3 linked regions of the Tamandua tetradactyla genome follow. The protein of the gene in region 1 interacts with the protein of each later gene in a pairwise test. Links are inferred from orthologs where the notes say so. Each region holds a gene or a part of one and is shown on either strand. Other genes may lie near its edges.

The links. The genes of interacting proteins can lie anywhere in the genome.
Region 2: the proteins of DDI1 (region 1) and CYGB interact in binary tests that used the Homo sapiens proteins (3 or more experiments, as listed by UniProt). The two-hybrid records come from large-scale screens. The link is inferred for Tamandua tetradactyla from reciprocal best matches to the Homo sapiens genes DDI1 and CYGB.
Region 3: the proteins of DDI1 (region 1) and KLHL42 interact in binary tests that used the Homo sapiens proteins (3 or more experiments, as listed by UniProt). The two-hybrid records come from large-scale screens. The link is inferred for Tamandua tetradactyla from reciprocal best matches to the Homo sapiens genes DDI1 and KLHL42.

What each region holds. Positions count from the first base shown.
Region 1 is NC_135334.1:37,958,339-37,965,002, forward strand, and holds DDI1 (protein DDI1 homolog 1), read right to left. Parts: upstream 2,437-6,664; 5' UTR 2,193-2,436; coding exon 996-2,192; 3' UTR 672-995; downstream 1-671. UniProt on the Homo sapiens protein: Probable aspartic protease. Seems to act as a proteasomal shuttle which links the proteasome and replication fork proteins like RTF2. Required, with DDI2, for cellular survival following replication stress.
Region 2 is NC_135332.1:17,434,108-17,441,965, forward strand, and holds the start of CYGB (cytoglobin), read right to left. Parts: upstream 3,030-7,858; 5' UTR 2,953-3,029; coding exon 2,810-2,952; intron 1-2,809. Other genes in the region: photoreceptor disk component PRCD, read left to right, coding at 5,780-5,853, 6,087-6,155. UniProt on the Homo sapiens protein: Probable multifunctional globin with a hexacoordinated heme iron required for the catalysis of various reactions depending on redox condition of the cell as well as oxygen availability.
Region 3 is NC_135333.1:90,930,025-90,938,170, reverse strand, and holds the start of KLHL42 (kelch-like protein 42), read right to left. Parts: upstream 3,030-8,146; 5' UTR 2,546-3,029; coding exon 1,674-2,545; intron 1-1,673. UniProt on the Homo sapiens protein: Substrate-specific adapter of a BCR (BTB-CUL3-RBX1) E3 ubiquitin-protein ligase complex required for mitotic progression and cytokinesis. The BCR(KLHL42) E3 ubiquitin ligase complex mediates the ubiquitination and subsequent degradation of KATNA1.

The sequences.
Region 1 (6,664 bases):
GGAGATCGTCTCATTCAAATATTTTCAAGTGTTATTTAGCAGTGACACCTTTTCTTCAAGCAACGTCTTATGTCACAGCTTAATCTATAAAGCAAAATTCTTTAAAGATGTTGATCTAGTTGAAATGATCACCGGAACACGGCCAGCCCCTACCTCCCGCTCCCACCACTGTGCAAATGCAGGTTCCCTTAAAGCACCATCATTTGAGGAGAAAAAGAATAGATCTAAAGATCTAATTCATTGCCTTCATTTTACAACCAGAGTTACCTTGAATTCAGGGGAAAGAAAGAATTATTTCTGGACATTCTAGAAGGAAAACCCATTTTCTCAAAAATGGCAAAAAAAAAAAGTAGCCTATAGTGGTAGGTTGCAGTGAACATGCTGTGGTAACAGGGACTCCAGGGAAGGAGAACAAGTAAAATATGAGGAAATTGACCCTTATGCTACCCAAAACAGACGTGTATAAGTATTAATTCAAAAGTATAATTGACCCATCATTTCTAATATCTTTCACAGAGCAAACAAAATCTGTGCAAAGAGACATATAACTCTGACATATAAACAGGTGTTGGTGCTGCTTTGAAATAGTTGTGTGTAGATGCCTTATAGGGCATGTAGCAATGACTTTTTCCAGGGAATTCTGCCCCATTAATGCAGCACCAAATAGCAGCTGGTTTGGACAGCTTTAATCAGATAAGATGGTGTCTATAAAAGGAAGAGGCTGGTTTTCCTTTTCATGCATTATCTGGAAATCAACTGGAGCCTCCAGAGAGAGCCTTCCCAAGATGAGGTTCAGCGCTCTCTGGATAGGGGAAATGGAAGAGGAGCCAAAATCAAGCAATCACGATTTACATAGTTAGGGATCTCAGAATTTAGTTCCAAGGCCAGGTTTAGTTGTTAGCAATGTTTTAATGATTACATGGCCATGAGCTCATTTCTTATAATTTTCTGGGACCTGAGGCTCCCTCAAGGTGGTAGTATATTTACAGCCTACTTCAATGCTTTTTCCGTCCTGAATCCATGACTGAATTTTTAATACCATCTGCTCTTTCCTTATCTGAAGACTCCTCTTGCCCAGTAGCACTTACCAGCTTGGCACACGGGGGTAACTCTCCCTCAGGAAGAAAATAAGTCTGTGTACCTGTGGTGCCAATCACTAGCACATTTTTCTTCAAGTCGATGGAACATTGATGTCGTTTGAGCATATCTAGCCCTAGAAGCATGTCCATGGGTTGCTCCTCAAGTATAGAGAAAGAGCATTGTAAGAAATCACCTTCAATTTGAATCTGAGCTAGATGAACTCTGCCAATAATTCTCTGCGTGCCCACTCCTTTAGCAACCCCAGCCCATCTTCGGTCCACTAGCCTCATTATGTTGCATCTCTCAGCACAAGTTTGGCTCATGATGGTCATCTGGGCACCTGAGTCAACAAAAGCCTTCAAAGGATGTCCATTCACTTTGCAGTTAATATAGAGCATTGCCACTTGGCCAAAACTCTCGGGAGCCTCTTCCATCGCAATATTCATGTTTTCCTCAATGTTCTGCTGCCGGATTTCCTCTTCTATTTTTGCCTGAGCTTCCAGATCAAATGGGTCAGCAGAATAGAGGCGAAGCCTCTCTTGCTCTCGCAGGGCCCTCTCCCTTTGCTGCTCCATCAGGACCTGAGAAAACGTCTCAAGGTTTCCGCTAAGCAGAGCTTCCGCCAAGGGGGGATTCCGTTCCTTCAGCAGAGACAGATCATGGGGATTGGAAAGCAGCATGCTTCGAATCAAGGCTGGGCTGTCCAGACCTTGAGCAGCAGCTATCGTCTCTCCCGAGGCCATGCCGCTTGAGTTCTGGGCTGTTTGTGATCGCTGATGGTGCTGCTGGCGGGAGCTGGATGTTCCAGGCACAGCTACGCCACTGAAATCTAATCGAGGCAGGTTTGACGTTCTTCCTGGGGATCGAGTTCCCGTATTCTCATTCTGAAGCAAAACAACAACATCACCGTCTTTTAGGCCATATGAGCCCAGGGAACAGTGGTCGTCAGCAAGAAGTCGCTCTGCAAAGATTATCTGGATCTCTTCAGCGGGAATGCCAGACTCGAGCTCACAGAGGACCCGAAAGTTGCGGAGCTCAAAGTCAGGGCTGACTTGAAGGGAGAAGGTTACCTCAGAGAGGTTCCTCCGCACGCAGTACACGGTGATCAGCATGGCATGGGCCCAAGAGGGCCAGATGGGCAGAGGGCATTAGATTGTTCGCTGGCTGACTGGAGCTGGTTTCTGATGATGACGTGGCTGTTTCTTAGACTTGGCACGTGTTGCTCAGGCTCCTTTACCTCTCAGAGAGGCCGAGCTGCTCACCAGCCTGGGCACCCCCTTCCAGCTTCATTGTCTGTTGCTTGGGCCCATGGAGTCTTGAAGCAAGATGTTGGGTTCCATAATTCATGTGTATGTGTGCCTTTTGGAACTTAGAATGTCTATTCCCATAGAAACAAATTTACTCTGACCCATTAGGTGACAAGACCAATCCAAAAGCCTATTTAACATCTTTTTATTTTGATATGATTTCAGCTTTTCCTAAACAAAATATTAACATTCATCTTATTCATTTTAAAGCTGTATTTTATGAACTTTTACTTATTCCCCAAAGAATGAATGTTTGTACAGTTATCATGCTATATGTACTTGGTATTGTAAGATAAGTCAACCTTGGCACCTGCCCCTAAGGATCTCATTCCAGGGTGGAATTGATGGGTATATAGGTATATCACAATATTGGAGATAAGTACTTTAACAAAGATATGTTCAGTGTACTAAAGGGACTAATAGGGCAGAGCAAGTTGCTCTCCAGAAGAGATATTCAAGCTGGAGATTCAATGACGAGCATTTCCTAAGTGTAAATTGGTCAGAGTCACACCAAACAAAAAGAATTGGATGTGCAAAAGCAAGAATCCATGACAAGACCTGTTATTGCCATAGGAAGGCAAACTTTCAGTCTAACAGGAATTTGTACATGAATTTGAGTGGCAGAACACAAAGCTGAGAAACATTAGTTGGAGCCAATTTTTAGTCTTATATGTGAATCCAGTGAGTTTAAATATTATCAATAAGTGAGAATCCTTCTGCCCCATGGGAGGAAAAATGAGAGGAAAAGAGGAAGAAAGGAAATGGAAAAGATTTGAAGCAGATATTCATGATGGATTTATTTTTTTCGTTTAGTGGTTTTAAGGAGGAGGTTTCCTGTAACAGATGAGTAGAGTTAACCTAGAAGCAGTTAGGAGGCTTTCTCAATGGTCCGAAGTGGAAGCTGATGCGAAAAAGGAGCTTCTTATGGGCAGGATTGTGGCTGCGGAGAGTGTAAAGGAAGCAGGGTATGTGGAATACACAGAAGGTCTCTAAAATGTGAGACTGGTTAAAAATAAGCTGTTGTTTTGAACAGATGAAGTGGCTTTAAGGTGACCAGTTGAACGTTGATTCTGCAGTGAAGTGTGTTGTGAATGCCACTCTGCCCATATCTCTGACCCTAGGATGCAAATCCCCTCCCCCAATTCCCCAAGAGTGGAGGCGCACAGGTGAAGGGTAAAGAGAGGCTTCAGGATAAATGGTGTTGGATAGCAATCGCTGAGTGCCAGTTGCTTTTCCTTTTCATTTCATCAAGCACTTGGTGCTGCAGAGAGCTTGTGCCCACTCACCCCCAGCTGGATCTTCCTGGCTATAACTACATAGCAGCCAAAGATAGTCATCATTCCGTGCCTCCTTCCCCCTCCCTGCGCCCAGTTTTGTCAGCCTGCACCATCAGAGTAGGACATCGCATCGGCCTTGAGATTTTTTTTTCTCCTTTTTCTCTTGTACTTGACATCTCAGATGTAAGAATGTGTCTCACTCATTACCCCATAATGCTTCTATACTCGTATTCATGTATATTAGAGATGTTGACTGAGTGCCCGGTGTGTGTGAAGAATGTGCTAAGTTCTGGAGGTACAGATATGAATAAGCTTAATGCTGTCTCTGTCCTTAAAGAAGTTCCCAGTCTAAAAGAGGAGACAGACACACGGTTTGGAGAAGGAAGAGTGAAAACGCAAAAGTAGAAGCTTGCACAGTGAGGGGAAATTAATATCTGGAGAGCAAATGAATGAGATGGTGGGGGTTGTTGGGCAGGGAAGTCATCTGGGAAGAGCTAGGCGTAGAAATTTGAGGAGTCAGCCATGCATGGGTGGGTGGGGTAGAGAAATGAAGGAACTGCCAAGGAGAGTGTGGCCTGACTTGGAGACATTATGTAGAAAAGCAACACTTCTTGATATGAGGGACTTTATAAAATGTCAGGGGAAAAATTCAGCATTGTAATTTTCCTGAAGAAAATTATGAATCATTTAGAGCTATTTTTCACTATTTATAGAGGTGAATGACCCTTTGACCCAAAAATATCAAGTTACTAGATTTATTCCCTGGTTCTTGGCATCCTGATAAATTCGTCAGTGATCAATAATGAATGTTCCCATGAGAATTGTCATATGCTAAAGAACAGACTAAAAACCAGTGATGCTTGAATTCAGTGTCTTTCTCCCTACCACCAGTAATTTTGGACAGTTTGTTTTTAAAACCTAATAGCTAGGGAGATAATATAGGGTGTCTGCATGTGTGTCTGTTTGTGCGTGCGTGTGTGTGTGACGGTGGATAATATTTTTTATAGAATGAGATTTTTTTGGTAAAGCAAGAGCTCTAGTTCACAACAAAAGAATCTAGCATCTGTTTGTTTTCATAGTACCATTACTTTGAAATGTAACAAACTTTATGCAATATTTTTATTATCTTGCTGCATTTTTTCACATTTGGTGTCATATTACATTTATGTACTTCTTATTTTACATGTTACTCAGAACACAAAATGGAAAGTAAGAAGCCTCAAAGTCTAGCCAATTTACTGTCACCATTCCATAGATCTTAGATGTCAGGATTGGCAGGGATCCTTTCCATCCTCTAGTCCAGCCATTCGAGTGCTTAAACCTCCTGCTGCAAAACAGCCTGGAATCTGAAAAGATAAACACAACCTCCTGGGGTGACTTAGTACTTCTATTTACACCTAATTTTATTCTTTGATTTTACTCATCACTATTGGTGATTCCGAAGCCATATATATAATTTTCTTCCCTCAAATTTTTAATTTAACATTTCTTCCGGTTCTACAATAAACTTGGAGACTACTGGGGACATATATATAAGGAAACATTCCTAAGCAGAAAATATTGTTATACCAGAAATCCCTATTGCAAGGGCTGCTGAGAAATGAGTGATGTGAATTAGTGAAGTGTATTAATCTAGGTAACTGAAGGCTATTGGAACGTTTCTTAGGAGTTCTTTGTGAGATACAGTCTCTTATTTTTCTTTCTTGTAAGGACAATATAGGAACATCATTGAATCTTTCTTTGATAAGTGAGATTCCTGAAAAGCTTCAGAGCTATCACTCAGAAAATCAGTTCTCATTGTATAGCCTAAATACTCAGAAAATAAAAGAGATGGCACTGATTTTACTCTGGTTAAGTAAATAACTCTAAAGTTGTTTTTTGGAATAAATCCACAATAATACCTTTCATAATTTGCTTCTTTATAAAAGCCTAATCCAGCAAAACAAAACCAGAAACAGATAACTGATGGTTCTGCTTAGTATAGTCAGTTGAAGTTTAACTACTATAGTTTTACGAAGCAAAATTGTGGTCTTATTAGTGAAAAAAATAAGAGTAGCTGTGTAAATTTCATTATGCAACACGTAAAATAATTAAACCATGTTAAGCAAATGTATTAGTCTGCTGTGTTTCTTCCTTCTTTTAAATATGTGCCTGGATATTATTTTTAAAATAAAATGCAACCAATATTTATTAAGATAGTTAAATCATCACTTGAGGTTTTCATTGAGATTTAGGGAAGATGCAGAACTTTGAAAGTTGCATCCTTAGGTTAAACAACAAATTTCCTTACTGTTCCTTCATCTGCTTTATAATAATACAATAAATTGTACTAGTACTGTCATGAAAGGGTAGAATTTATTTTTGCAGCTAATTATTTAATATGTGTATTTTTTAAAACGCTATATTAATCAATTTAGCTTTCATTAGTAGATTTGGATCTTTTCTCGTATGAAAAGGCTTGCTATTGCCCATCTTTGAAATTTAAATACCAGAAAAGGAGCTACTAAATAAATATATAAATATGCAGACATATAATTGAAGAAAGTCATGGGACCTGAGAATTTAGTTTGTCCCACCCTGCTGGGAACTCAGCTGATGGCTATGCTTTGTTATAAAGAGACAAGAATATGGACAAAATACACACACACACACAGCATGAGTGCACGCTCAGTTAGTCAGGACAGTTTTCCAATTACTTTGAAAGTGCATTTAAAAGATTGCTATTTTCCTGAAGGGACTGTTTTCATGGTGCATTGAATTTATTTATTGCTTTATTTTATAGATTATTAGTTTTAACATTTTATCATGAAAAAAGATGCATTTTAATTTGCATGTTACTTATTGAAAATTATGTGATATATGATAATATAATCTCTTGATAACTTTTGGCTCTTCACAGTGCATACTTTCCAAGTCTCTCTGTCTTTCTGATAGGTATATAGATATATATATAAATACAGATATAGATAGCATATTGCTTTTTTAAGAAAGTTTGCTGTT
Region 2 (7,858 bases), on another chromosome or scaffold:
TCCTATTTGATCTCATTGTTCCTTGCAGTCTTCTGCTGCAAGGTTGGTGCTTTGTCCCCACTTTATGGATTAGGAAATTGATGTCCAAGGTTTCTGGAGGAAATAGGTGGCAGGAAGGAGCCCAGGTGGCCCCTGCTTTGACAGCCTCCCTATAACTGCCTTAGGAGACTGGTGCACCTGGTTCCATGCCCAGGAGACCCAGGCCAGCCCCCTGCCTCCATCCCCAGAGCCAGCTACAGGGGCCTCTTCTGGGCCAGGACCTGGTGGCCACCTGCCCTGCTCTCCTTCACCCTGGTTTCTCTCCCCAGTGCCCCCATGTTTACTTCTGACCCTTCCAGCGGGGCTGTGCCAAGGGTAGGAGAGAAGCCTCAGCAGCCAGCCTTGGGGGAGTTCTCAGCTCCCAGAGGCATCTGGGCTTCCAAGAGAGCTTGAAATAGGCTTGTCTGAGAGTGAGGGGGAAGGTGCCAGAGTTACAACCGGGAGGGGGGGAGCCTTCGTAAAGCACAGGGGTTCCCGCGGTCTCCTCCCCACAGAGTGGAGGTGCGGGGTGGGCTGGGACCCAGGCTCCTCCACCACCACCCCCAACGGGCTGCTCAGCTCTGGAGGGTGGGGTGTGGAGGGGCGCTGGCCTGCCCCTTGCCCCAATGGCTGAGGGCAGAGGCACTGGCCCAGGTCAGCGAGGAGGGAGGGGGTGCGAGGGAAGGCCAGAGGCCAGCGTCTCAGGCGCAAAGAGGCCTCTTCCTGTGGATACCTGCTTTGGGCGGCAGGACCGACGGGCAGGGTATCTGCGCGGGGACCTTTGGGAGACCCCTTAATGCCGCCTGTCCCAACTGCCTGGGCAGAGCCAGGAGGGCAGCAGGAGGAAAGGGCGGCTGGTATAGGGCCTGGGCTGGCGGGAGGTGCCGAGAGGGACGGTTCTGGGCTGAGTTGTCCCGTGGGGCAGGGCTCTAATCAGCAGAGAACTATGGCCAAGTGAGGTGGGGTTGGGTGGTGGGCTTATCAGCGGGCCGGAGGTAATGATTTAAGAAACCCCGGCTATCTCAGCCTTCTCAGATTAACGGGGGGCTGTCTCTGAGCTCACTAGCAAACACCTCCCCCAGCCCAGGCCCGGCCCCCTCTCCGAGAGTCAGGACCAGGGAACTAGAAGGGGGTCTAGAGAGAGAAAGACAATCTTGCCAAGAGCCCCAACTGCCCAGAGCAAGCCCTGCCCTCAGTGTCTGGTTCCCTCATCGGCTCCCCTCAGGCCCCCCTGTCCCGCTCCTGGGGAGGTTCTGGGGAGCCCCGGGAGACGGTCCTGGCCACGCTGCTACACTGGAAATGACAGGGGTTGGGACTAATGCTCTCCAAGGTTCTTCTGATCTGTTGTTCTGTGGACCCTGCCTCGTTTCCAGCTCCAGGTGCACCCCGGGGCCTGGTGGGCCTCAGGTGCCTACACCCACCACTGGGGCTGCCGTCCTACTGGGTGCTGCATGGGTGCTGGCACCACAGATTGGCTGCTCTGAGTGTCGGATATGCTGCTCTGAGTGTCAGAAGACTCCAGGGTCTGAATCCCCCTTGCACCCTCCCCCAGCCCCTGGCTGCATTTCCGGGAGTCTGGCATGAGCTCCCTAAATAGCGGCCCCTTCCTTAGGGACCCTCCTCTAACTCATCAGAAGTGCTTCCTGCTCTTTTTCCTCCAAAATCAGCTCCCAAGTTTGGATCAGGGGAAGGCAGAGGGGAGAGAGAGTAGGGGGTCGGGGGACATACAGAGGGGCCAGACTGGCCAGGTCGGGGAAACAGGCATGCATGTGAGCTGTCTCTTCCTTAAGCAAGCAGTTGCCCATTTCTTTAAATAATAAGTCTGCCCTGCTCTGTCCCAGATTTGACAGCTTCTCTCTGCCAAGGACAAGGGCTCGAGGGCAGGCTGGGTCGGGGTCTCTCCCCCTGCACCCCCGGGGACTGGCGCATGTGGGAACAGGACATAGATTTGTACCTACAGTCATTCACTGTGAGGCTCAGTGACATTCAACCTAGGAATGGCGTGTGCGCCGGAGTGAAAGCGGGTGAGTGATGGAGTCACTCCGTGTTTGGGGGTCTTTGTGGGGAGTGACCCCTGAGTCCAAGACACAGCACTTCCACAGCCCCCAGGGAGGGTGTTTCCAGGTGGGGCCCTGTCTCCTGAAGCTTCTCCCTTTCCCTCCACCAAACTCTGCAGGGGCTGGGTCTAGGGCACTGGTTGCTCCTTCTCTGCCCTGCAGGGCCTGGGAGCTCCTTGCTGGCCCACTCCCTTTGGGCAGAAAGGGAACAGTTGGGAGAACTGGTCCTCATCCGTGTACTTCTCCTGGCCTCTGTTCCGGATCTTTGCCTTCCCTAAGGCTTTGAAGAGGGAAAGGGGCTGAGCTGGAGAGAGGCAGTTGCCCCTCTTTGCTGCCTCCCTGGCTGAGCCTCAGTCTTCCCATCTCTAGAATGGGGCGATTGAGGTGGAAGGGATGATAAAATGTGTGTCTGTAACAGCTTGGCGGGCGCGGGCTGAGTGTGGGTGGGAGAGGGGTCTCGGGCCCAGGGAGGAGTTTGGGGCCCGGGCGAGAAGGGGGTCGGCGGCTGCCTCGCCTCTGCGGCTGGTCCCCGCGCCCCGGCTCCGGGAAGGGCTCCAGGGCTTCACCGTCCGCCCTCGGCCGGCGCCCCCCGCTGCCTGCACCCCGGCCGGCCCTGGCCCGGCCCCCGTCCGAGCTGGGGAGGCGGCGCCGGAGCTCGGACCCGGGCCGAGCCCGCCCCTGCCCGGAGCCGCTGCCGCCCTCCCTCCCCCGGGCCCGGCCGGGGCGACACCTACCTCACCAGGATGGCCACCCCTACGTCCTCGCAGTTGGCATAGAGCCGGGCCCACGTCGCCTGCACCGCCTTCCTCTCCGCCTCGGACAGCTCCTCGCTGCGCTCCCTGCGCTCCGGCTCCATCTCGCCCGGCACTTTCTCCATGAGAAGCTCCGAGCCCGGCCCGGCTTCGCTCGGCGGCGGCGGGGCGCGAGGAGCCGGGGCCGGCTGCTTGCGCGGCGGGCGGGCGGGCCGGGGGAGAGCGCGCCGGAGGGAGGGAGCGTGTGTCCGTGCCTCTGCGCGCCGGGCGTGTGTGCGCGCGTGTGTGTGTGTATGTGTGTGTGTGCGCGCGCGTGTGTGTGTGTGTGTGCAGGGTATATGTGCGGGGGGCGGGGGACGCGGACGGGGGGCGGGGATGTGGTCTGCTGGAAAAATGTTTGAAAAAACAAATACGCCCCAAACCCCAGCCCCGCGTCGGTGAGCCAGTTCCGGCAAGGTGACGGCTGGGCGGGGTGGGGGCGCCGGGCGGGGCCGGGCCGGGTGGGTGTGGCCGGCCCGCCGTGGGGGGGGGGGGGGGGGTGTCTCGGCGAGCAGCCGGCGGTCACGCGGCGCGGGGCGGCGCTGTCGGCGGGTCTGGGGGCGATCGGCGCGGGCCCCCGCTGCGTGCGCCTCGGGGCGTGTGCGTGTGTGCCCCCTTCCCCCCTCGGGGAACCGATTCAAAGTCAGACGCTCCCGGGCGACTGCGGCCCGAGGGGGCGAACGCAAGCCCCAGCCGCCGCGGTCCCAGCTGGGGTCCCGCTAGCTCGCGGCCTCTCCCGGCACCTCCCGGAATTCCAGACCCCGGGATCTGCAGGATCTAGAACTTGGTGCTTCTCCCTGCCCGCCTCCCGCTGCGGGAATGGGGTGCGTCGGTCCGAACGTCGGCACACCTCCAACCTCGGGCGCCAGAGACCCGCGGCCTCGGGGCGCACACGCTGGGAAGAAGCCTCTGGGTGTCTTATTGATGACACAAGCAGGCCAGATAGAGGCGCTACCTCGAATTCTGGCCCCGACGCGGGAAAAGTCCAGAGAGGCGGCTGGTGCGGTACAGAGGAGGAGCCCGGGGTCAAGGAACCTGGGGGAAGGCCCAGGGTGCCGGAGGCTTCTCAGCTACCACGAAGCAAGACGGCTGAGGTGTGGTTGAGACCCGGCTAGAGGTGCGCATGGACCTCTGAGAGCCAGGGGGACCCCACTACTGGCCAGAGTCCAGACACCCCTGCGGTGTCAAACTGATGACACAGCACATATGGGATGTTTCTACTACTCTCTCCCTAAGGATCCCTGGTGACCTTTGTTCTCAAGGCTTTGTGTTCCGCTGCCTAACCACTGCAAATGGGGCTCTCCTCTGCAGCTTGCTTTATGTTTTTATTTTGAAAAATCGTAGTTCAAGGTAGAGAGCTGACAGAAGCAGCAGGGGCCTGCCTAGCCCTGCCCTGGCTCAGGCCCTTCCTGGAGCTCAGGGTTCCAGTAACTTGGTGGGAATCCTGGCTGGTTGGCCTCTGCCACAGCCTCCCCAAATGCCTTCTTCCGAGGAGCCCTGGAGGTGGGTGCAGGAGAGGGTGTGCTCGGCTTCTAACATCACTCTCAAATTCGCCACTTGCAAACCCTTGCCCTGTCCTCTGTGCCCTGCCAGCCTTCTGTCCCTTTGAGGCCTAATCTCCACGTTATGCCCAGATGCCAGCTGAGCTCCTTTGAGGGTTTCCTAAAGCAGGTGTACTGGTCTCTAAACTGGCTGCCCAAGAAGTTCCACTGGGATGTGGAAAGAAAGTAGAAGTCTTTCCCTCTATTTTTATCTCATCCGTTACAAACTGTGTGTATATTTTATGATGCAATGATGTATTTGCAGACTGGTAGAGTATATATTATTTAAAAAATTTATTATGGTAACATCTATACAACATAACATTTCCTGTTATACCCAGTTTCAAGTGTACATTTTAATGGTGTTAATTACATTCATGATGTTGTGTTACTGTCACCGCCACCCATTAACTTTTCCCTCACCCCAAACATCCATTAAGTAAAAACTTCTCCTGCCCTCTCCCCTGGCCCTTGGTAATTGCTAATCTTTCTGTTTCTATGAATTTGCTTATTCTAGATATTTCATATAAATGAAATCATGATATTTGTCCTCTTGTGTGTATGTGGCTTATTTCACTCAAAATGACATATTCAAGGTTCACCCATGTGGTGGCGTGGATCAGAACTTCACTAGATTATCTGATTTATAAGTGTCACGTTATGGGTGCACAGTTACGTTCTGCCTTTGAATGAGAAGTATATGATCAGAAAAGCTTTGAAATGGACTATCCAGAGGTTAAAATGGATGCCCCCCAAGCCAGACATCGTGGGCCCTTCGCTCTTTGCTTTCTCCTCTTCTGACTTCAGGTTCTCATTGTGCTCCTCTGTTCTCCGGCCCTCCTGGCGCCCCACACTGCGACATTACCACTCCCCCGCCACCCAACGCCCAGCGGCTGGAACACGGCGAGCTCGTGCCCATCTCTGGCTCTTGCAGATTCTTTGATCGCTCTCTCAGGACCATCCTTCCGTGCTCACCTGCAAATTCAGGGGCCTCTAGTTCTTCTTCAAATCTTTTCCTGATGCTTGCAAATCCCAACATGCTCTCCAGCTAAGCCACCCTATTGCAGGCATTTGTTTCATTTGTCTAGACTCTAAGGCCCAGGTCTTATTCATATTTGCATTCAGAATCGGTGCTCAGTGCCGAGGTTGATTTACCTGGCCTTGGACGAGACAGCCTGGGCCTGGTGAGGTTAATCAGTCTTCACAAGGGCGGGTCTGCTGTGACCCCACTAATCAGCTTGAGCCTCCTAATCCGTCACCAGCAGGAACCTCAGGACAGAATGCTGGTGAGAGGTGGCGGGGGCCATTTGGGCCCCTAGCCCTCGCCTTCTTCTCCAGACGAGGTTCTGGGCAGGGGGTGGGGCGAAGGGCCATGTGCACCACCCTCTTTCTGCTCAGCACCTTGGCCATGCTCTGGCGTCGCTGGTCTGCCAACCGGGTCCAACCGTGAGAGCCTGGCAGGGGCCCTGGGCTGGGGCAGGGGAGGAGCTTCTGGGCCTCTGGGGGGAGGTCGGGAGGGCATGTGTACCAAGTCCCCAAGAGGCTCACTCTCGGAGCAGGGGCATTTGGGGCTCTTCCAGGGTACGAAGCTGTGGTCTCCATGTGGCCAGGCCCCGAGGAGCAGGAGGACGGTCTGGACACCGCCTACAGCTCTTCCTTCATGTTCTCCCCTCCCACAGGGAGCCCAGCGGAGTGGACGGGGCAGCTAGGGGCAGCGGCTCGGAAAGAGACCTGCAGGCTTCGGGCAGGTGAGGCAGTGGAGAGTCAGGTGGGGGAGGGAGGTTCTGCCAAAGAAGCTGTTGCTGTCTGTGTCTGGGGGGTGCAACGCGTATGCACGTGTGTGCGTGTGCCCACACTACATGGTGGCCAGCAGGCATGTGTCCCCGTGCCCCAGGCACCTTGCTCCCTGTGTGCCTGCTTGGATGTCTGTTTTCTCAGATTGGGAGCTGGGAGCTCCCAGACCCCTCCCTTGGACCAAAGCTGCTCTGCCTGGCTAGTCTGAGTGCAGGACGGTCCCCAGGGGTACCTTTTGCTGGAAGGCGCAGGGGGAGTGGAGAGAGGGATGAGCAGAAGCAGCTCTGCATTGCTCTGCTTTCCTTTCCTTTCCCTTTCCTCCCCTCCTCCCCCTGCCCCCACCCAGCCTCAGCTCCTCTGCCTGAACCTCGGCAGGATTCGCTGTCCAGTCCCCAATAGAAGGCTCTGGAAGAGCATGACATCATCAGCATCGAGTGTCATTGGCTGGACAGCCCCTGCGGGCAGGATTCCGGCTCCCATGGCCGAAAGTTAACTCTTCCTTAGGCTGAGGGCATGTGGCCTTTCAGGGGTGAAGTTGGGGATCTCCCGGCTTATTTCTTCCCTGAGTAACCAGTGTCCTTTGATCAGAGGACACTGAAAAATCAACGGAAAGTTATGAAGTCCCTACTGTGCTCTGGGTGCTTGGGGACCCACCTAGTTTGGAAGACCTCTCACTGGGGTGACACTATCTCATGGGGAAGTGTCTGCTAGACCACTGACGCTGCCTGTCTTTTAATAAAATAAAAAGCAAAAGAATCCCAAGACCTTTGGGCTTAGGTGCCCATGGAAGGAGAGTCTCCCCATGGGAGTTCAGGCAGCTGGTCCAGCCGGCTTGACCTGCAAACACCTCAGGTCTCTTTCCGGGTGGGGGATGTGTCCTTTAGATGTGCGGAAACTAGTGAGCCTTTTGCTGTCTCGGCCATTTTCTGCCTCATCCTGGGACTCTTCCGGGTTCCACTCAATGGTCAGAAGGCCCAGTGGAAGCTACTGGGCACGTACAGGAAACTGAGAGGCATTTCTGGGATACCCTTTCTGTATTGAATGCAGCCTGAGAGTGTCTCGGTGTGACTCCTAATCAAATGGCTGACCCACGTGAAATGACTGCCACAGGGGGTCACAGAGAGGGGCACTGGAAGGCTGGCTGGTCCTCACTGGCTGAGTTTGGGCCTGGAGTTGGCCAACTGGCTCCCCTTTTACTAAGTGATGTTGGGCAAACTATGTAACCCTATTATTTATAGGTAAGATGGAGTTAGTAACAGAGTGGTCATGAGGACTTAATGGGCTCATCTTTGTAAGGCCTTGGCATGGAGTAACTGCTGAATGCATGTTTGCTGGTTATTTTATACTCAATACAGTGCTTTATTCATTCTCAGAGGTTGCTCATGTGTTAACTCACCCAGAAATCTGTGATCCTAGAAGTGGCAGGACATGTGCTCTGTCTCTTGTTAATGGCCGAGGAAACTGAGGGACAGGGAAATTTCAGTGACTTGCTCAAGGTCGTCCGTCATCTCCTTTGTGGCAGATGCGAGACTATGAATCGGGTCCCCAGCTTCCTGGTAGTGGGTCTCTACTACATGAAGTGGGTCTGGACTTCCTGCTGGGAGGATGGCCAGGACAAATCTGGGGGCCACCCAGCCAGGCCTGACCTCACGTGGTC
Region 3 (8,146 bases), on another chromosome or scaffold:
GTATATACACATACATTTCCCCATTGTTAACCACAATGAGCATACTTATAATCTATTTATATAAACATATATTTACAGCTTTTGAATATATTTTAAAAATATACCAAATGTCTATAAATGCACTTATACTTTTTACTCTATAGTTTTCTATCTCATTTTCATTTTTCCAAAAAGCATATATGCATGCATTATTTGATTTTTTTTGTTCTTTTTTAAAGACAGACAGGTCATTCCTGGGGAGGGGGGATAAAAGACTACTATAGATTTGTAAAGATTAAAAAAAAAAAAAGAAATGAACTCTGTATGGTGTTGTTAGAATTGTGGAGCTGGGGATGGCATGCTGAGAACCAACTGATTCAACTGAAAAGTTAGAGAGAACAGAGAAGCTACTGAGCCTTCCACCCTAATTGGAATTTCTGTTTAAAAATAATATTTCTGATATCAAAATTTAAATATGTTATCACCTCAATGCTGTAAAAAAATGCATTTAAAAAGGATTGGGAGTACATATGCCAACTGTAGATAGCTATTACCTCTAGGAGGAGGAAGTAGGAGTGACAGTCTTTCTACTTCTTCATTCATTTCCATTTTTCCATAATAATTTCTATTATGATCAGAAAAAAGGAGGACTTTGCAAAATGAATTTTATATTATAGTAGGAATAAAGCCAGTCCTCCTCATTCCTGCTAAGACTTTCTTGGCCTGCCTATGAGGTCACTGAGCTCCATGCTTCAAACTTCAGGGTAGGGACAATGATGGACTTGAGATGGAAACACGTGGACCAAAAGAAAGGGTATTCCTATCCTTGCTTGGGTTGCATTGCTTCTTCTCCCACTTCTGAATGGCTGAGCCATCCTGGGCTCTACCAGCTCTCTTTCCTACCATCTTTTCCTTTATCTGCTCTTTGTGCTCATTGTTTCTGTTCTTTTGCTGGTCCTTCCCTGCTTTTACTCCCCTCAAGCTCCTCCTCTTCTTTTTCTCTCTTCAAGTCACCATGTTCATGGTGGAAGGACATGCAGGATGGGAAAAGAGGAGGTTGGGGTGGATAGAAACATTCCAATATTGTATGTAGGTGGCTCCTGCAAGGCTCAAGCTTTGAGTCAATGGCAATGGCTGCCTGAGAGGAAGAAGCAAAAGAGAGGATAAAAAATAATAAAAGGAAAGCCCAAATAATTAATATGTATAAAACTCTAATGATTATCTGTCTCCTGACCTTGGATTGGTGCTCCAGTGTAGGACTTCAAACCACTGACTGCGAAAAATAAAAAATCCCCCATATCAAGATTAATGGCTACTGCCTAGTGTGTCATTATAATGAGAATTAGATCCTAAAAAGTAAAACAAAAAACAAAAAAAAAAGCAGTTGCCTTAGAAAGTATACTCTAGGAAACCACATCATTTTTTTTCCCTAGAATAGAGGCAAAGAAGGCCGTTCTGCCTAAAGGCGCAACACCTACAAGGAAACTTATTGAGCTGGCTGACCCCATTGGAGCCTCTTCTTGTAAGTTCTGAATTCACTGGGAATTTTGCCAGTATCGAGGCCAGCAACACTCCTGAAGATGTCATTTCTACCTCAGCACAGCCTCCGGTGACTGTTCTGTAAACACTAGCGGAGTGCGTTATTGAACACATGAATGAGTGGCAAAGCAGCAGCACTGCACTGGGGCGCTTACCTCTTCTGATTCATGGAGGCCACCTGGAGCCACTCATTGGTGCTGGGGTTGTAGGAGTGCGCGGCAGAGATCTCCTGGCTGGTGATCCTGTACCCGCCCACTATAAAGAGGTAGTTGTCCAGAATGGCCGACCCGTAACCCCTGACATTCACCAGGTCGGGAGGCAGGTTGTTGGCCAGCGGGAACCAACGTTCAGTCATCTCCTCGTACCTGAGCATGGACGGGGGCTCCCCCTGGTAGGGGTGCGGGGCCAGGGGTCCCCCCAAGAAGTCTCCCAGGGCCACGAGGACCGCAGTCCCAGTCATCCGGGCCTCCCTCAGCCTTTGCTTCAGACTGACGTCCCCTGGGGCTTGGGGAGGAGCCCCCAGGAGGTGAAACTGGGGCTTGCACAGCACCTCGTGGAAGTGGACGACCATGAAGCGCAGACAGGCCTCCTGCAGGTCAGGCAGCCCGTACACCTGCGCCAGGCGATACATCTCCAAGCAGTTGTTGAGCCGCACCTGGGACAGAAGCAGCTGCAGCAGGGACGTGACCTGCAGGAAGGAGGCCGCTTCCACCAGCTCCGACAGCAGGCTCACCTCGTCCATCTCCTCCTCCTCCTCCACCCCGCCGCCTTTCTCCCCCCGCGGGCTCAGGAGCCAGCCTTCGCGGGCGCCGCCGGCGTTGATGAAGTCCAGCACCAGCCGCAGGCCTGGGGCGCTGAGGCCGCGCAACTGCTGCACCTCGGGGCCGCCGGCCTCCTGGCTCAGGGCCTCGCGCATGCCGGAGCGGTACAGGGCGCGGAAGTAGTCGCTCTGCTCGATGAGCTTCCTCTTGCTCACCGGGTAGCAGCGGTCCTCCAGGCGGATCTGCACCATTTCCTCCGCCGACATGACTGGGGGGCTGCGGGCTGACTGGGTTCCCGCCAGATCTGCGCGCTGTCTTCCCCGCCCCCGCGCGCTCTCCGGGTTCCGGGTTGGGCTCACCGAGGGATGGGGTCCGGGAGGAGGAGGCAGGCGAAGGGCCGCCCGCTCCCGCGTTCGCCCGGCCTATTTGGGTCTCGGCGGAGCCTCCGAAGCAGCCCCTCCTCCTGTCCCGATGGCTGCGGCTCGGCCCTTCTCGTCTCCCTCCACGCCAAAAAAGGCCCAGCTCGCGCGCGCCGACGTCGGGAGGCGGCCGCGGTGCCTGCTTGGACTCTCCCGACAGCGTCAGTCGGGGAGGGTATCCCAACCCCCAGCCTGCAGCCTCCTCCCACGCCTCCCTTCTCACTTCCGCCCGCAGGACCCCTGCATCCCGCTAGACCTGCGAACTGGATCCGGCTTTCGGCGAGAGCTGGAAGGCTGCAGGCCTCGCCCGCCCGGAATGCCGACGCGCGGGCGGCGGGAGCAGGTCGGACGCGCGTCCCCGCAGCTTCCCGGCCCGCCCGGTGCGCACCAGTTGGGTGGGAAAGGAGGGAGATGAACCCACTTTGTGTTTTCTTTCGCTCTGCTTCGGAGGGGAAAAAAGAAACGGGCGTGGAAGAGAACGGATGAAGGCAAAGGCAGTCTGGGGTCCAGAGAACGAAAAACATCAAAGCTGGGGCCGCTCATCTGGGCCAGCCCAGCGCCGTGTTCTAGAGGGCGGAGGTACACCCGCAGTCTCTGGACACGTCATGACACCCAGTTGATTCCTCGGTGTGGTCATCGTATAGGAACCATCTTGCAGAAGGCCCGGGCAGATGGCAGCAGGTTCTGCAGGGCTCAGCGCGCCCGGTGCACTGGGTTGGAAAGTTGTCTTTGCTGCTGGGACCCCCCTCTTACCTTCATGCTGTTAGAAGACAAACTGAAGTATAATTCAAGTAAATAAAGTTAGATTACACTTCCTTTTTTTCTTTTATCATATATTATTTTCCAACAAATACCTTTCTAACAACCATTGCTTTTCCTACTTCGATTTATCCGGATTAGCCATTACAAATATTATCTTTAGGCATCAAGTCTGGTGGCTTTTGCTCACACTCCCCCTCCCCCAGCAATCTGAGGAGTATTTGAAGAGAGACCATCTTGTCTTTTCTCACTGAGCATCGCAAATGTAAAGCTCATCCCATTAATAGGAAGGGCCCTTGTATTGCTCATGAAATGCGAATTAATCCCACAAAAGGTGGCGGAGGGGGGATGGGGGAAGAATGGAAATTACTAAATTACCTTTGGGTAGGAAGGGTAATGCTTGAAAGGGAGCACCAGGGGTGTGGTCACTCTTCTCTTAAAAAAAACTCTTGGAAACGTCCCCCAAACCAAGATTTGAGGGCCAACTAGTATAGTTCTTAACGTGCGAGGCATTTGGGTTTGGATTTTTTTTTTTCCTTTTTAGTTACCGTACTTCAGCTTTCTTCTTGAATAACAAACTATTAAATAATAACTTCCTCATAAATATATTTCTCCTAGTCCAAACAGAATATACATCCAATAATACAAATTAACATTTCATGTTAGGAAGGGGGTAATTCACCAGGAGGTAACATTCACTCCTCAGTGGTTTACTAATGGATTTTTTTCCTCACGTTAGAATGAGTATCAGGTTAGGTGAGTGCCTATGATTTCACTTTTTCTTTCTCGAGTTCTTAAATTATGCTTTTCACTTCCACAATTATGGAACGCGATTATCAGAAGGAATCAACAAATGGCTTCAAATCGTTAGTGTGAACAAGCAAAACTAGATCTAAGTATAACGCCATTTTTCCTTAACATAACGTCCCTTGCATCACATATTCTGATGATATTGTCTGCCGTTAATTTTTTTTAATCATCTGTATTTTGGCAGAATCATCAAGCTAGGAAGAAGCTTAAATGCCATCCAATCTAGTCCCTCGTTTTACAGCACTAATGGGACCTGCCTGAGTCACAGAGCTAGTAAGTAGGCAGTACCTATCCTTGAACCCCCATTTTACCATTAGGTCCACAGCCAGCCACATAATTAACTGTATGGTCAGGGCACAGAAAAGTCTGGCCTGACAGAACTGTATCCTACATTAATAAATTATTAATTTTATTTTGTTAGGTGTAATAATTTCACAATATTATACATTTAAAACTTTTTTTACACTCATGAGTATTATAAGTGAAATAATTTCTGCGACTTGCTTTAAAATAAGGAAAAAAGTAGGGAGAAAGAAACAATCAACAAAATGTCAATAATTATTAAGCTGGGTGATAGGTTCATGAGCCATCATTATACTATTCTCTCACACATGTTTGTGTGTATATATAAAATTTTTAAAGTTTTAAAAAATCTTAGATTAATTTTCCAAAGGGTTTCCCCACCCCATCCCAATAATATATATATTTTTGTATTTTTTAAGTTACTAGCTTCTGCTTTCTTCTTGGATGACAAGTCGTTAAATAACATTCTTTTCATAAATAAATGTCCCCTATTTCAAGCAGACCATACATCCTCCAATGATTATTTACATTTTATGTTAGGAAGAGGGAAGGGTAAAAAAAAAAAAATTGAGAGAGAAAGAAAAGAAAATTCTATCAGTAAGACATGAAATCCTTTCAACACAATTTGGTCACATTTATGCTTCTTTTTGTGTAATTTAGCTACTTCGTAGTGAAGTTTGATCACCCATTATTTTCTTTATAGCATCATGAATAAGGAACTGAAATTTAAAAACAAAACAAAACAGAAAAATTCTGGCAGATTATGGCCTCCATAGGAAAAGGAAGAAAAAAGATGGGTCTATGACTTGCACCATTGAGTTATTTTCTTGGATGCCAGCTCTTCACCTTGTTTTACCTGTATTTTAAGTCACTGCTGATAAAACACCACTCTCTCACCTACCTCTCATGCTTCTTCTCTCAATGAGCATGCAGTCGAGACATTCTAAGGTACTTTGGGAATGAGTGCCCATGCATTTAGCAAATCAAGGGCCAGGTGCAGAATTGGGCAGTAGGCTTGGGAACTTTTGCTGGGAGGCGCCCCCTCTATGGAAGAGACTTGGACCTGGGATTTATTTGTGCCTTATTTAGCGACAAAGACAGATTCAGTGGGTCAGCCAAGAACAGAGTCTCAGTCTCTCCATTGTCCCTTTAGAATCTTTCACCAATGAATGCTTTTGTTTCCCAACCAACATAGATACGCCTCAGGCTGGTGTTCTCTTGCCTTTTTAGACCAGACCAAAAAATTCACACTCAAAAAAGGATCTGTATTAAAAAGGCAGTTCAAGCATGGTAATATCGCTGGGGCAAGATCAGCTTGGGCAGGGAATCTGGTTATTAGTCTGATAATACTAATCCCACAAGTTTTTTGGTCCCCATCATGATAATAATGTAATTCAGCACCTGGAGCATCTTAAAAGATCATATCACTTTAATAATTCACGCATTAAGTTTTCCGTTAAGCTAGAAATGCAAAATCGAAGCAATATAAACTCCTTATTCACAAATGACCTAAAATATTACTTTTAGGCTTCATAGAAATAGTTTGTATATCTAACTGGAAGAATAGTTTTATAGATCTGTTATTGATAAAGATTAGTCTTTGTCGTGCTACGATTCACTTCAGTCAATCACTTTGCACTGCTAACTGTTTTACAAAAGACTAAAGTAATGATCATATATAGAGTTAGGCTATTTCTTTAAGAAATTATGGAAAATATACCTTTTGACCTAGCAGGCAGAAAATATGTAAGTAAAGGATATTTGTCACAGTATTGCTTTTAACAATGAAATATTGGGGAAAAAAAGTATAATAATAGTAACTAACACTTATTGTTTATTATGTGCTGGGCCTTTTGTAAATGTTTTACCTGAGTTATAATGCCGTCTTTACACTATGTTACAGCTGAAGAAACTGAGGTGCTAAGTAAACTGTAGTAGGTTAGTAGGTATGTGCAATGAAATGCCAGAGAGCCATTACAAATTTTAATGTAGCACTTTCTTTAGAGAAATTGAAAGATGAAATTTACACTGCATCTTTTGAAAACAGGTTCAGGAACAGCAAACATGGTATGATTCCATTTATGTAAAATTGAATACATATATCTATTTTTCATCGTGCTACCTAAAAGGATGTTTATCAAAATGTTAAGATTATAAAATATTGAATAGTTTTTAAATTTTTTGTACTTTTGTATATTGTTTGGATTTTTTGGTGAATATATATCAATTTAATAAAAGCAAAAATTTTTAAAGAAAAATTAACATTTAAAATTTCAGGCCTCATTTTTTAAACAGTTTCCCCTAATTTTATCACTAATGAATTTAAAATGTTAAGTAAATAATTCAATTTGATACTTTAAAATGGGGGAGAAATATTGTTTTTCAAATGTCTTTTGAATTTAGTAAACCTATCCTATTACTTCACTACCATTTAAAATTATTTCTATTTGTTTAGTCCCTAGAGAAGGATTTTTCCCAAAAGCGTCTATTTCTTTTTGCTGCTTAGCATCAAATAAATTTAAACATCTTCCTTTCATTAAAGCATATGGTACAATTTAAATGAGTAGCACAGGGTCTTAAAAGGGACTGTATTTAATTCAATTTGGGCATCCTTATACAGGCATTACTACCATTCATTTCAGTAACCCATATCAGTGTTTTCCAAACATCTTAAGAAATCGCTTGGGACACTTGAGAAAATAAGAATCCTGGTTCCCACACCAGATATACTGAATCAGCCAGTGGTGGAGATGAGTGGAAAATGCTATTCTTTAAGGTATGAGGCTAATTTTTGAACCCCTCAGTTTGTCATTGTGTTGCAATAGTGTAATGGCTCTGGGTATTTGATTCAATTAGCATAAAAGCTATATAGCAATTTTTGTTTCAGAGTTGCAGTTGCTTCTGGTTTCTGCAATTTCAGTTCACATGGACAGGTTTTAAGACTAGATGCTCTGCAGCATATATCTCAGACTCTGGTGGATTCTTCTCTCTGATGCTGCAGACCAATTTCTACCTTTCCTTTTCAAAATATTTGATCTCGAGATGTACTCTTTTCTATACTCAATATTTGTATAATCACCACAAAGTTTTTTTAATAAAATTTTTTAACATGCTTTTACAGTGAAACTTGTAGATTCTTTAAAATGAAACTTTGATCTATATTTGAACACCATTTGGCAGCAAAGGGTTAAGCAATTGTGGATTGGTCCATTATTCCTGCAGGGAACATGAGAACTTCAAGGAACTATATATCACACTAAAGAAACTACATTTACTGTGACCAAAGACTTGAGGTTATACAATTAGAAAGTAGACTTTCCAGTTTATGTCCCAAGGACATGTCCTAAAAGAAACAGCTATAGAATTGCACTGAAAAACAGGGAGTAATTCTTGTTACTCATCTGTCTCTTGCCTTTCAATAGAAAACCTCTCTTCCTCTCCCTCAGAGTAGAAGGAATAGTCTGGTTGTTTCACAGGTAAGTGGCTGAAACTTGCTTTCTAAAAGTTCAACAGAATAAAACATATACTAGTCTTAATGTAATTTATGCGGTTTATACAAGGTTAGGAGTTAGTACA